Linked DNA regions of Sus scrofa. The protein of the gene in region 1 purifies or fractionates together with the protein of each later gene. This does not show direct contact. Links are inferred from orthologs where the notes say so. Each region holds a gene or a part of one and is shown in the gene's direction. Other genes may lie near its edges.

Region 1 (5,112 bases):
GTCATTACACTACAAAACTGGAGAGAACTGTAAACCCTTTCTCCCTCCCTGAACTACAGATTCAATCCCCACCAGCTGTTTCAAGAAACAAAGGTTAGTAGGAGATAGTATTCAGGCTTGCTTCGTACTTACACCTATGTAGTCAGACTATGCATTTTAGGTAAGGGGTCTCTTGGTTAGAAGAAAAAAAATTTTTAGTCTTTTTTTTCCCCCACATATAATGATTTTCATTTTTTCCATTATAGCTGGTTTACAATGTTCTGTCAATTTTTCACTGTACAGCAAGGTGACCCAGTCACACATACATATATATACATTCTTTTTTCTCACATTATCATCATGCTCCATCATAAGTAAGTAGACATAGTTCCCAGTGCTATATAGCAGGATCTCATTGCTTATCCATTCCAAAGGCAATAATCTGCATCTATTAACCTCGAGTTCCTAATCCATCCCACTCTCTCCCCCTTGGCAATCACAAGTCCATGATTTTCTTTTCTGTGAAAAGGTTCATTTGTGCCTTATATTAGAGTTCAGATATAAGTGATATCATATGGTATTTGTCTTTCTCTTTCTGACTTACTTCACTCAGTATGAGAGTCTCTAGTTCCATCCATGTTGCTGCAAATAGCATTATTTTGTTCTTTTTTATGGCTGGTGTATATATACACCACATCTTCTTAATCCAAACATCTGTTGATGGACGTTTGGGTTGTTTCCATATCTTGGCTGTTGTGAACAGAGCTGCAGTGAATGTGCGGGTGCATGTGTAAAAGTTTCTAGTCTTTATTCTCTCATCAGAACTAGGAAATTTGTTTTCAGACCAAATCAGTGGGAAACATATTAAAAAAGAAAAAAAGAGTTAAGGCAGTGTGTAATTAGTAGGAGGAGGACCCAGGAAGGGGGGAATGCACACAGAATCAATTGCCTGGAAATCTAAAAGTGTGAGTTACTGGATTTTCCCAAACAGAAATTATCAGAGATTTTGGATACTGCTGTTTCAGAAAGAGGGAAATTCAGAATAAAAGTTGCAAGATGGAATGGAAGAGTGAGTGGTAGAAACTGAAAGCTCTCCTCCTCCATTCTGGGATGCTACCAGGTTAATCTCTCACTTCCTGTGAGCACAGCTTCATTATCACCTGCCTCCACCTGCAGCCTGTGCTGTCTTTTCATTTCTCTTTGAAGTGTCGGAGTCTACCCATCTTTTAAGCGTTAGCCGCCCATTTCAGTTCCCATTTCAAGTCTTTTCTGAAGATTAGTTTTCATTTCTTTCTCCAGCCCCTGAAATCTTACTGAGTTCGTAGCTACATTTACACTAGTTAGCGCATAAAGCTATATCACAAGTATAAACCTACTCTCCTCCAGCTAAGCAGTGTAATTTTTGATTTTGTATACTGTACACTTATTTTGTATAATCTGGAAATAGTCTGGGTTTACACTTACTAAATATACTCCCAGGCCTAAAGTTCTGTTAAATATTGGAGGAACAACCATTTAAAAATACTTTATAAAAACTTCTATCCCAGCATTCTTTAACTATATTTTCAAATAAAATATATCTACTTTGACTAATCTCAACAAAATCGCCTGTAGTGGAATTCAACGCTTTTAACTTATTCAGAATTGCCAAAAGAAGGGACAGCCCCCATTATCGGAAGTCTCTAGCAATGAGTTTTCAAATGCGATCTGCATTCGGTAGCAGATGGTAAAAGTGTCCAATTTCGAAAACACCTACAAAAAGGAGTGAAACTATCATTTAACATCTGTTCGCTTGTAGCCAAATAAGCGAGTTGACCAGGATTCCTAAACCCACTGCGGCTCAGTTTCTAACACACGTTTTGCGTCATTAGGCGTAGGGAGCCAATTGGGCCGTTTGGGTGCCGTGCATCCTGGGAGCTGTAGTTCCGGGGGGGGGTGTCCCTCCTCCAGACTACAAGCTCCATCGAGCAGCAGGAGGACGGTTGCTTGGTGTAATTAGCAAGCGGGAAGTATGGCGGTGGCGCGCATCGACGCGGCTTTGCCTCCTGGAGAAGGTAAGGCGACCGTCACCTCTGTGTCCCCAGGTTTACTCCATGGAACTGAATTAAATAGTTGCTTGACGGAAGGAATAAGACTGGGTATAGGGGTGCAGTTCTTGTCCAGTTCTTTTGATGCGGGGCTGCGGGCATCGCCGAGGCGCGCTACCCTCTGGGAGTTGTAGTCTCCTGGGCGCTGCCTGGCTCTCCAGTGTCGCGGCTAGGGCCAAGTGGGGGGACTACAAGCCCCCAGGGACCTTCGCGCTACTGGACGCCGCGGGTCCCGCGCTGCTGAGGATGCTTGGATGATGGGTTTCTGGCCGCGATGACCTTTCTTGGATGTTTACTTTGAGTTCTGGGTTCCCAAGTGAAAACTGCAGAGTCCCCCCTTTCCCTTGGATCCCTAAAATTTTCAAGAAAAATCTCTAACACAGCTCCCTAGATTGACGTTGGACCTTTTCTTGGGAAGTGTCTCGTGGCCGTGATAAAATCTGGGGGTTATTCAGAGCCCACAGTTCTCCACCCCTTGTTCTGTATATGTGGTCCTGGGACCTGGTTTGGTGGCTGCTGAGGAGAGCGCGGGGCGTGGGTGATTCCGTAGGTGCTGCGTGAGCCAGCTTCTTTGTTTTGGTTACAGCTGAGGCTCTGGGTCGGGGGCAGGTTGGAGGGTCGAGACTAGTCTCCACCGCCCAGATCAGGGCCTTATTTGGGAGGGAGGTTCTAAGAGGTCTTTCGGCCCTTTGAATTGTGTGCAAAAGCTATTCATTTTTCTGGGACGGTATATAGCTTTCACTAAATTCTCAGAACGGAATGACACTTCCTCTCCTACCTTCCCCCAAATGCTAGAAACCATTAGACAATGGAAAAACGTTGCAACTCTTCAGGAGAGCAACCTTGTATAGTTATTTCCCTCAGTAATCTTAATCTGGGTATAATTTGATATTGGTAGTTTCTCTGGCCCTTCCACCCTCTGATATCTGCATCTCTTAAATTCCCCTCACCAGCCCACCATGGCAGTTTACTGATAATCATAATAGTAACATTTATAGAGCACTTTTTAAATGAGCCAGACTATGTTCTGAGTGCCTTTTTTTTTTTTTTAAACATTATCTCATTTTCTCTGTGGAAGGTTATAAGCCAGAACCAGCTATAATGGAAAAAAAATAAAAATCATTATATTAAAAAAACCCCAAACATTATAAGCCAGGTATTATTATCATCCCTATTTTATAGAGTAGAAGAGCGAGCCCAAAAGATATCAGTAACTTGCCCAGGATATCACAGTATTTAGCTAGGGGAGCTAGGATCTGAAGGTCCGTTATATATACTAAATTATTTTATTGAATATTGTGTACCAGGAATGAGGCTAAATACTGTTCATATGGTTTCTCCTTTCATCTTCACATCAATTTAATGAATTAGGTATATTATTACCATCCTGTAGATAAATTTACTTTTATTTTCAAAATAGTTTGAGCACTTTAGGATATACTGGTAGGTTGTAAGCAGGTTGGTCTCTATCAAAAGATTAGTTACATTTTAAAAATACTGTCATTATTTAGGTACAGAATAGAGAAGTGATAGTTCCCATTTAAATGTGAAGAATTCCCAAATATAGAAACTTGAGTATCACAGATCTAGATATGATTTGATATTTCTGAGGGAAAGTGAATAATTTCAGTCTACAGTCATTGAGAAATCATTTGTTTTAGTTTTTCAACGATATTTATTATGCTCTGGTGTTTTCTAACTCTAAATGTGTAAGATTTTATGAGTATAATTTTATCCCTATGCTCAGCTCTTGTATTTGTGTTTTCTAACAGTTTCTCTTCTCTTTTCAAGGATCAGTGGTCAATTGGTCAGGGCAGGGGCTACAGAAATTAAGTCCAAACTTACCCTGTGAAGTTGATATTCATACTTTGATTCTGGATAAAAATCAGATTATTAAATTAGAAAATCTTGAGAAATACAAACGATTAATACAGGTAGGTATTGCTATGTGGAGAAAATAGTTACATGACTAGCTTATTCTTACAGAAAATGAAACAATCATATAACAAAAAGTAACTCTGCAAGCCTGGAAAGCAGTAAATGTTGCCTTACATTTAAAAAAATATTAGTAACTGTAATAAATTTATTTAGTAAATAAAATAATTTAATGAAAAATAAAAAATTTTTACATGACATGCTTATTACATAATTTTTTTTTTTTTTTTGTCTTTTTACCTTTTCTAGGGCCGCTCCCACGGCATGTGGAGGTTCCCAGGCTAGGGGTCCAATCGGAGCTGTAGCTGCCGGCCTACAACGCAGCCAGAGCAACATGGGATCTGAGCTGCGTCTGCAACCCATACCACAACTCACGGCAACGGATCCTTAACCCACTGAGCAAGGCCAGGGATCAAACCCACAGTGGTTCCTAGTCGGATTTGTTAACCACTGAGCCACGATGGGAACTCCTTTGCAGAATGATTTTTAAACTTCTGAAGATGAATATATATTTGCTACATTTAAAGTAGACTAGGAAAAAAAAAGCATTTGTTAAAAAAACAGGTTGGGCATTGGGAACTATGTTTAGTCACTTATGATAGTGCATGATAATGTGAGAAAAAAGAATGTATATATGTATGTGTGACTGGGTCACCTTGCTGTACAGTGAAAAATTGACAGAACACTAAACCAGCTATAATGGAAAAAAATAAAAATCATTAAATAAAAGCAAAAAAAAGAAAACAGGTTGGAAAAATACTACTTTTTTTTTTTGTCTTTTTAGGACCACACTCATGGCATATGGAGGTTCCCAGGTTAGGGGTCTAATCAGAGCTGTTGCCGCTGGCCTACACCACAGCCACAGCAACACCAGATTCGAGCTGCATCTGCAACCTATACCACAGCTCACAGCAACACTGGATCCTTAACCCACTGAGCAAGTCCAGGGATTGGACCTGAAACCTCATGCTTCCTAGTTGGATTTGTTTCTGTTGCGCCACAACAGAAACTCCTGTATTACATTGTTGAGATAACTTTTTATTTTATGGTGAGGGTACAGATTTCATTGATTTATTCATTCAGCAAATGTTTATTGGTCCCTTCTTGTGTG
Region 2 (4,391 bases), on another chromosome or scaffold:
AAACTTAATGAGGAGAAAATACATTTAAAGTACTGTGCTATATTTATCAATACCATAAATTTCTATCTGTTTACAAGATGAATCGTGTCTGTTAGTACCTATATTGGTATTGTCTTATATGATACAAAACTGTGTATATGTTATTTGTATTATTTTAATACTAGATATCAAAAATGAAAAGATAATGTGAAAAATTCATACTTATAATGATTCGTGCATTGATAATGAGGCAGCCTGGGAGCCTAGTGTAATCAATGTGACTGCTTCACAGTAGCCTAACCCATACAGTAAGGAATAAATTGTTATAATTATAGGATACAGTATTTCATTCATAATGCCGTATTGGAAACTGTTTTTCTTTTTTTTGTTTTTTAAACCACTCATCTGTGGTGATAGGTTGCAGTTGAGAAAGAGAAGAGGGGGAGAGGGAGGGAGAGAGAAAGGGTAAGAGAGAGAAAGAGGCAGGGATACTATATGGTAATTAACTTTTTGAAAGCAAAGTTATAAAACAATTAGAAAACTTAACACATTAATTTTATATTAACTATCACTCATGTTTAAGGATAGACTAGTATATACATGTATTTTATGCATTCATGCAAAATTTTTTTGGATAGTTCGAGGTTATGCATTTCATCTGTGAGTTTTTTCAAATTGTCACAAATCTCCAGTGTGTTTGTTGAAAAAATTCTGCATGTAAGATACCCATGCAGTTCAAACCTGTGTTGTTCAAGGGTCAGCTGTACATCAGAGTGTTGGAGATCTGTGGTCTGAATCAATGATCCTGGTGTGGTTGGCAAAAGACAAGTGAAATTTATACTATTTCATTGGGGAAACCAATTTTTTTTTTTTTTGCTTTTCAGGGCCACACCCATGGCATATGGAAGTTCCCAGGCTAGGGGTCCACTTGGATCTACAGCTGCCAGCCTATACCGCAGCCACAGCCATGCTGGATCCTTAACCCACTGAGTGAGGCCAGGGCTTGAACCTGCAACCTCATGGTTCCTAGTCGGATTCATTTCTGCTGTGCCATGGCAGGGAAAATAACTTTAATTATTTAATTTAAAAAATCAGCCTGCTTCAGTTATAAAGGCTGTTAAAGTTCAAAATGTTAGTAAGAGAAGCTTTTCTATGCAGTTTGAGGTCATCCTATATTATAATTCAGTGGTAGTACTGATACTACTAGAGCTTGATGTCACTTTTTGTGTTTTAAAGGATAAAATGAAAAGTCCACGAGTAGCCCTTTCAGCTGCAACACAGAAGTCTCTTGATAGGAAGAAGTACATGAAGTAAGTTTCTTTCATGTCTTGTCACATATTAATTATTATCAAAGCCAATAAATTTTAATCATCTGTTGGTTTGTATATTCAGATTAGAAATAATTTTTTCTGCAGCTGAGGTGATAGAAATCCCTTTATATAAATAATTTTATTCAGATCTGGTGGTAAAATCTGATCTTTACTAACTAACTAATAAATTTGTCCGTGTTCAACTTGTGTAATTGATAGCTAATCAAATCATCTTTAAAATAGTTAATCTTTCAGTGTTAATTTTCTATCTTTTAAATATACTCTTTTTCTAATACCTAAAGACTTCGTGAAGGGAAAAGCTTAATGCAAAGAATATCCTGAAAGTATCCTATTAAAACTCTTCTTTCTTGAAATTTGTCTTTAGTGTGCCTATCATAAGGTCCTTCAGTAGTATACCAACTTTGAAATGGCGATTGTTTCTGATCCTGTATCGCATTTGTAATCATGTTTCTCCCCTTTCTAAATACATTATTTGTGTGTCCTTATTTTTATATTGTGTTAGAGCTGCAGAAATGGGAATGCCAAATAAGAAATTTCTGGTTAAGCAAAATCCTTCTGAAACAAGGTGAGAAAAAAATCACTTAGTCTTGGTGAGAGGCTATTTTTCAGTTTTTTTTTTTTAATTGATTGATTGATATTTGCTTTTTAGGGCCGCTACACCTGTGGCATATGGATGTTCCCAGGCTAGATGGTGGAATTGGAGCTGTAGCTGTCAGCCTACACCACACTGAGCGAGGCCTTGGATCAAAACCGCATGCTCATGGATACTAGTCAGATTCTTTTTTGCTGTGCCACAACCAGAACTCCTATTTTTCAATTTTTAAGGAAAGAAAATTTTATAAATCCTGAGCTTGCTTTTCTACAGTAAATCAGTAAATCTCTCATCAGTTCATCAGTCAGTCTCTCCCTGCTGAGTTGGGGGGTTGCAGAGTCAGAACATAGTAACACCTGGTCAGGTACCTGGTCATGTGTCAGACCAGATGTTCCTGGAGCTTTTAGTCAGACATGCATCTCTGATGGAAATTTGAGCCCCATATGTCCTGAGTTCAGTCCGTGGTCCGAGAGGACTTTGATACTTTTTTGTTTTTTGTTTTTGCTTTTTAGGGCCGCCACACCTACAGCATATGGAAGTTCCCAGGCTAGGGGTCAAATTGGAGCTACAGCTGCTGGCCTACACCACAGCCACAGCAACGCCAGATCTGAGCTGTATCTGAGACCTACACCACAGCTCACGGCAACGCTGATACCCCACCCACTGAATGAGGCCAGGGATCGAACTTGTGTCCTCAAGGATACCGGTCGCATTCGTTTCCACTGTGCCACATTGGGAAATCTGATACTTATTTAAAAAACTTAGAAAGCTAGCTTAATATTTCTGACCTGTTTTTTGCAGTTACAAGAGCGATATTCTGTCTCTCAGATGTTTGCAAAGGTTTTGTAAAGTATATAAGTAACTTATCTAAAAGCACAAGGATTAATACTTGCTAGACATCTCTTTCCTGATGAAAAACTAAGGTTTGGGCTTTTGGTGAGCAAATTAAGTACCATATTAATACTCTGTAATCGACTTGCTTTGCCTGGTGCTAGTGTATAGGCCAAATCATTTAATAGATGCCTTCTACCCGAGTGTTATCATCTTTTATCTATTGAAAGAAAATGGGGAAAAACTGAATTTATCCTATCAAATTAATTTTTTATATGCTTTGTCAACAGAGTCCTTCAGCCAAATCAAGGACAGAATGCACCTGTTCATAGGCTACTGAGTAGACAAGGGTAAGAATGCAACACACATGGGTACTTAAAAAATATATTCAAATCAAGATTAGCTTTGAGAGGGAAAAATAATTTTGTGCTTTTTAGATAAAGGATAACTTTTCAAATGTGATCTTTTTATTACATTAGCAGAGCTTATAAAGTTTTGTGCAAAGATAACCCTTTGGGTGTACTGTTGTGTATTATATTTTAATTGTCATCTTATGTTGGCTTGTTTTTACTTTTCATTTCATACCATTTGCTCATTAAATATTATAAGCATTCACATAGTAAGTTCATCATCACCAAAGCGATTCTCCAGTAAAGCGTAAGCCATGGTTATAGTCTCCTGCTGAAGCAAAAGCATAGCTCCCTTCCTGTGCGTGTGCATGAGACTTAAATTCTTTTCAAGCTTATTGTGCTTTGAACAGTTGATGCCGTGTGGTTGCTTTCTTTGAATGTTGAACATTTAGACCTTAATGCAAGTGACTTATTAATTTTTTTATATTCAATTAGAACCCCTAAGACATCAGTGAAGGGGGTTGTGCAAAATAGACAGAAGTCTTCACAGAGCAGAATGCCTAACAGAGCGCCTGTTTCAGGTGTGTAGCAAACAAGTTCCTGAAGCCCATTCAATAGAAAGACGTGCACAAGCCGCCCCATGACACAGGCCACACCAGCGGGATCCAGTGTCTTTCCTTGCCACCATAATTTTGGCATATTCACAGTCATTCCTCCTAGTGATCATTTGTGTTAGTGTTTTGTGGCAGTCAGGAAATCTTAGTGAAGCTGTAGCCCCAATTCTGATTTCTGTAACAAATTATGAAAAATCTGTAGAATTACACAAACTTAATTCAGAGAAGTTTTTGTAAATGAGTAAAATATAACCATCTGATGTCTGCATCTGTGCATGTTTATTCAGCTTTGGGAAAGTGTATCACCCGGGAATATTTGTACCTGCACATAAGGGGAAAAATTCCTCCCTCTGACCACAAGATCACATGTGAATATGCCCGGTGGGAGGGGGTGAAGTCAGTCTTCTGCTCCATAAGAAGCTTGAGCTAAATCTTTATGTTCATTATTTGAGAATTAGTTAAGAGCTAAACTAAAACTATTTTAAAATTATATTTATGGTGGCAAGAAGACAAATTCAGTCTTGAGCTAATGCAAAACTGAAGCTAATGTTTTAATATTTTTTAGATATTTTTGTTAAGACTGTATGATAAACTCACCAGAAATGATGTGATCCATTAAAAATATTTTTAAAATGCTTTGCTTTAACTATACTGCTTTCTAAACTTTTAAAAGAAACCTAATCACCAGACAGTG
Region 3 (4,968 bases), on another chromosome or scaffold:
TAGTGGGGGGAATGGCAAATAAATCTTTTCAGTATGTAGGGCTGGGATATCCATTTAGGGGGAAAAGGAACCTTAATCCCAACCTCATACATTTTATAAAAATTAATAGACCTGGACATGAAAAGTATGATAGTAAAGCATCTAGAAGAAAACACAGGTGACTCTGTTCATGGCTTTTGAGTAGGCAAAGCCTTATACTAGATGCAAAAAGAACTGATCACAAAAGGAAAGCTCAAGAGTTCTGGTGGTGGCTCAGCGGTAAGGATCCTGACTAGTATTAATGAGGATGCGAGTTTGATCCCTGGCCTCACTCAGTGGGTTAAGGATCCAGCATCTCGTGAACTGTGGTGTAGGTCGCAGATGCAGCTCAGATCTGGCATTGCTGCGGCTGTGGCATAGGCCGGCAGCTGCAGCTCTGATAACCCCTAGCCTGGAAATTTCCATATACCCTAAAAAGAAGCAAAACAAAAGGAAAGATCAGCAAACCCAGTTTTTTCTTAGTTATTTCTGCAATTCTTACCATCCCCTCCATCCCTATTGTTACAGACCTATTTATAAGAGTCACTTTGGCTTGTAATACAGCAGTTGTCTTCCAACTGTTCTTTTTTCTTTCTTTCCTTTTTTTTTTTCTTTTTAGGACTGCACCCTTGGCATATGGAAGTTCCCAGGCCAGGGGTCAAATCAATCGGAGCTATAGCAGCCAGCCTACACCACAGCTCACCGCAAAGCTGTTTCCTTATCTGAGTGAGGCCAGGGGCTGAATCAGTATCTTCATGGATCCTAGTTGGATCCGTTTCTGCTGCACCACAACAGGAACTCCCCAATGACTGTTCTTTTCCTTTATTCTTTGATAGCACAGATAATAAACATTTAAAATGTAAATTTCACTAGTACAGCCTTCTTTTGAGTAAAAATCTTATAATGGGTTAGGATCCTTCAGAGAAGCTCATCCCAACTTCTCAACGGACCACAACTAGTCCTTTATGACCTGGCACATAACCTACCTCCCTGCCCTCTCTGCTTCTAGCCTGAATTTTGGCTCTATCAATTTTAGAGTTCACATTATCACTTGCTAGCATTCATCCTATTCCGTCTGAATTGCTTTTTTCATTTCCTTCACTGATTCGTCTTTCCAAACTGAAGCTCGAGTACAAAGTGTTTGAGGATTCCATCCCTAGACCTTATGGGCGGCTAAAAGCCCCTTGTTACCACATCACTGACTACTGTCTTTCTTTCCTTTTAGCACTTAGAACTAAATTGACTTAAGTTTCTGGGGGGCATTACCACCACTGAATCCCAGGACTTAGTTTAGATTTTGGATGTAGTAGACACTCAACTTCAGTTATTCCTTCATCTCTACTGAGGAACCAACCATTCACTCCCACTCCCTCTTGCTCCCGGACTCCGGTCCGTGGAACCTGCTGGAAGTTTCGTCTATCTAAACTGCATGGGTCAAAAGTGGGAGGGGGCCTGTCCGACTAGGTGTAAAGTAACACCAAGACAACTTGAGGGTCCATTTCTCCTTTCAATGCCTTCGGATGGAGTACGTTTTTCTTCTTAGTCTGGGAAGCCAACGAGGAAGACAACCTTAGGTCTGCGGAGTCCTGGGGCCCATGGAACAGTCCACCCGCCCCGGAACCAAAAGGCTTCCTCTGCTCTACCCTCCGCAGAGGCAGAACGACTTCCGGAAAGTCCGCGGCCTTCAGGGTTCCCAGCGCCAAGATGCCGGCACCCACCAATGCGCCGCGCCATCCGGAACTCGCTCCCGGAAAAGAACACGTAGCGCGGGATGACGTCACGGGTCACAAAGGGCTCGGTTGCTTCCAAGAGCCATGATGAGCGCTGTAGGGAAAAACGGAGCTCGATGTGCTTTGTGTTATTAACAGACATATAAACTCCCCCAAAGTCCACACGTTCCCGAAGGAGAACAGTATGGTACAAAACTCCTTTCAAGCTAGCGCTCCGGAGGCTCCACGGGACTGTGGGCGCGCAGCGGGACGGAGGGCTAGCGTGAACCACCGCGGCCTCCGTAACCGAGGCTGCAGGGGGCGGAGCCTGCGGGGCTGGTCTCCGGCCAGGGGGCGGGCCGGGAGAGTCGGTCCTCCACGGTCCCAGCCCACCCCGCGCCCGCGCTTCGCCTCCCCTCCCCCCCCCCCCCCCCGCGGCACGCTGCGTGGCTGCTCGTTGGCTCCTTAGGACGGAAGCTCGGTTGGTGTTTCTCCAGAAGTTTCCCCCTTGGGCGGCGGCGGACTGGTAACCTCGGTAGGAGCGGCTCCAGCAGCGGTAACAGTGACCAGTAGGGATGGCGGCGGCTGCAGCGGGACCTGCAACGGCCCAAAGGTGCGTGTTTTACCTTTTCTTTGCTATTTATTAGTACCCAGCATCCTCTGTTTTCCTTGGTTAGTGCGCCCTGCTGAAGTCGTTGTTTTCCTGGCAGGTTTTTCCGGAGCTTCTCAGATGCTCTGATCGAAGAGGACCCCCAGGCGGCGTTAGAGGTGAGCGAGCTGGTCCAGCTTCCTTCACTTTGCTGTGGGCAACGGGGGGGCCGCGTTGGGTTCTGGCCCACCCCGCCTCTTCGCAGCACTGTTTTCCCGGGGCCGGGGCTGCTGCTTGTCTTGTGTCTCAGTCTTGATATTGAAAACCCCCGCCTCTTTTCTCTGTCCATCAGCGGCCCAGTCACTCCAGATCCCAGTTCTTGCTACCTCCCTCTCCTAGACGGTTCCTGCATCCTCGGAGCGTCTCAGTAAAACCTGCCTTCTTTCTTGGGAATGTGGTTGACTTTCATAGTTGGCCTGAAAGGGCCTGGTTTTTTTTGTTTGTTTTTAATGGCATTAGGGACAAAAAGGAAATTTTAGGCTTGATATTTGTTAACTCGGCTTTTCGCTTGACTAAGTCATCCTTGCCATTTTAATGTACCAGGCTCTGTGCTAAGTGCCTGTATGAACTCGCTACTGGAACAAAAACCTTTCCTGTGTGTGCCTGAAAATTTCCAGATGTCCTGTCACTGTTCATTATTCACTCATTTGCTTCTTCCTCAAAACAATTTCTTGGGGTTTTTGTTGTGTGCAAGGAACTGATTGCTGTGGGTTAAAGTCTTAGTTCGATGTTTAACTGACTTGGTGGGCATTCTGTGTGCAATGAAAGGCTATAAAGGTGTAAAGGAAAGCAAAAAACAAGAGTGAAGTCATGATTGAAACTAATAAAGGGAGCCCACATTAAGAATACGTGATGCAGTGGGTCCCAAAGTTTAGCCAGGTGTCTCTTGCTTGGAAGCTCAAGAGGGAACCTTGGTTCGCAGTTGTGATCCACCACATGGAAGGTGAGCAGTTTGAGGCAGGAAAACCTTTTCCTCACCGTGACTTCTAAAAGAAATCTGCCACATGGTTGGTTGAGGAGGTGACATCTGAGCTGAGGCCTGAGGGAGTGAGCTTGGAAGCTCTGGAGAAAGATGATTTCAGGCAGGAAGAGGAGCCGGTTTCAAGATCCTGAGGTAGGCGTGAAGTTGGCCTGCACAAGGAGCAGCAGGAAGGCCATTTAGTTGGAGGGGGATGAAAGAGAAGTAAGAGATGAGGTGGGGAGGAAATGAAGGCCTAGGTCCTGTGGGGCCTTTTAGGTTGGAGTATGTTTTTTGGGTCTGGATATGAAGACCTTCAGAGTGGCTGATGACTCTGTTGTGCTGTGATGTTTCCTAGTGATGCTTCTGGGATCCGTGTCAGAGTCAGGTTACTAGAGACACAGAACTTTGTCCACAATTCCTAATGTCGGCCGGATAGCTCTTCATGTTCTGAATCTACGTTTGGTATGGTCCTCTTAGGCGCCATGCCTCCTTTGGAAATCCAGTTTGTATAATAATAGCTCCTAAAGGATATGAATGTAGTGAGTTCGTTGTCCCCTTATATTTGATTTATTTTACTTTTAGAATTACTTATGGATGTGTGATAGGTAATACAGTTCTTAAATCTGCCACTCATGAGCTTGAAGTCTTACGTGTATATACTGCTCAGATCAAGGTACAGAATACTTAACATCCTCAAGCTTAATCTCCTATGTCCTCCTAGCCAGTTATTCCTCTACCCCACCAGATAACCCCTGTTCTGAATCTTATCACCACCAGTTAATTTTGCTTGTTCTTGAACTTAGAAATAGCATCATACACGAGGTACACAGTTGAGTGTAGGTATTGTCTTGCTTTAAGCATTAGGTAAGAGACATCCCCAGATTGTGTGAAGTGGTGGTTCTTTTTCATTGCTATGTAGTCTTGTGTATACATATAGCACAATTTATCTAGTCGGACAGTGGACATTTGGTTTATTTCCAGTTAGTGTGAATAAAACCACTGTGAATTTTCTTATACCTGTATTTTAGTAAACACACAGACTCCTTTTTGTGGGCGGGGTGCTTTTTTTTTCCTTTCTTTTTGGAAGTGAATTGCCTGGTTAGCTTTAGTGTGTTGATCCTTAACGTGTGGCTCTTGGGAATTCTCTTGTAGCACAGTGGTTGGGGATCCAGCATTGTCACGGCAGTGGCTTGGGTCGCCACTGTGGCACAGGTTCAGTCCTTGGCCTGAGAACTTCCACGTGACCCGGATGTCACCCCAAAAACCCCAAACAAAAAAAAATGCGTGGCTCTTGGACCAACAGCATTGCTTCCTTGGGAACATGTTAGAGGTGCAAATTCTTGGACCCTACCCCAGATTTTCTGAAAGTACTTGTGACTCCCACAGGCCAGTACTCTTCACCCTTCCGTTTTATAGAAGAAAACAGACCCAGAGAAATCCAAGGGCTCTGTCGTGGAGATGTGTACAGCCAGTTAGGGCAGAAGCCGCAGGACACGTGTTTCCTGACTCTTAGTCTAGTGCCGTAGAACAGTGGTTTTCAAAAGTGTGATCCTCGGACCACCTGCAGCAGCATCTCCTGGGAATTTTTTAGAAATGCAAATTCTCAGGATCTGCCACGGACCTGCATCAAG

The links.
Region 2: the proteins of CEP97 (region 1) and CCP110 purify together in Homo sapiens (co-immunoprecipitation; 10 studies listed by BioGRID and IntAct, with this or other methods). This does not show direct contact. The link is inferred for Sus scrofa from reciprocal best matches to the Homo sapiens genes CEP97 and CCP110.
Region 3: the proteins of CEP97 (region 1) and SUGT1 purify together in Homo sapiens (affinity purification with mass spectrometry; 3 studies listed by BioGRID and IntAct, with this or other methods). This does not show direct contact. The link is inferred for Sus scrofa from reciprocal best matches to the Homo sapiens genes CEP97 and SUGT1.

The regions. Positions count from the first base shown.
Region 1 is NC_010455.5:157,385,206-157,390,317, reverse strand, and holds the start of CEP97 (centrosomal protein of 97 kDa), read left to right. Parts: upstream 1-1,892; 5' UTR 1,893-1,990; coding exon 1,991-2,033; intron 2,034-3,857; coding exon 3,858-4,000; intron 4,001-5,112. UniProt on the Homo sapiens protein: Acts as a key negative regulator of ciliogenesis in collaboration with CCP110 by capping the mother centriole thereby preventing cilia formation. Required for recruitment of CCP110 to the centrosome.
Region 2 is NC_010445.4:26,163,842-26,168,232, reverse strand, and holds part of CCP110 (centriolar coiled-coil protein of 110 kDa), read left to right. Parts: intron 1-1,215; coding exon 1,216-1,289; intron 1,290-1,812; coding exon 1,813-1,875; intron 1,876-3,023; coding exon 3,024-3,083; intron 3,084-3,578; coding exon 3,579-3,664; intron 3,665-4,391.
Region 3 is NC_010453.5:25,903,809-25,908,776, forward strand, and holds the start of SUGT1 (protein SGT1 homolog), read left to right. Parts: upstream 1-1,633; 5' UTR 1,634-2,302; coding exon 2,303-2,340; intron 2,341-2,437; coding exon 2,438-2,495; intron 2,496-4,968. UniProt on the Homo sapiens protein: May play a role in ubiquitination and subsequent proteasomal degradation of target proteins.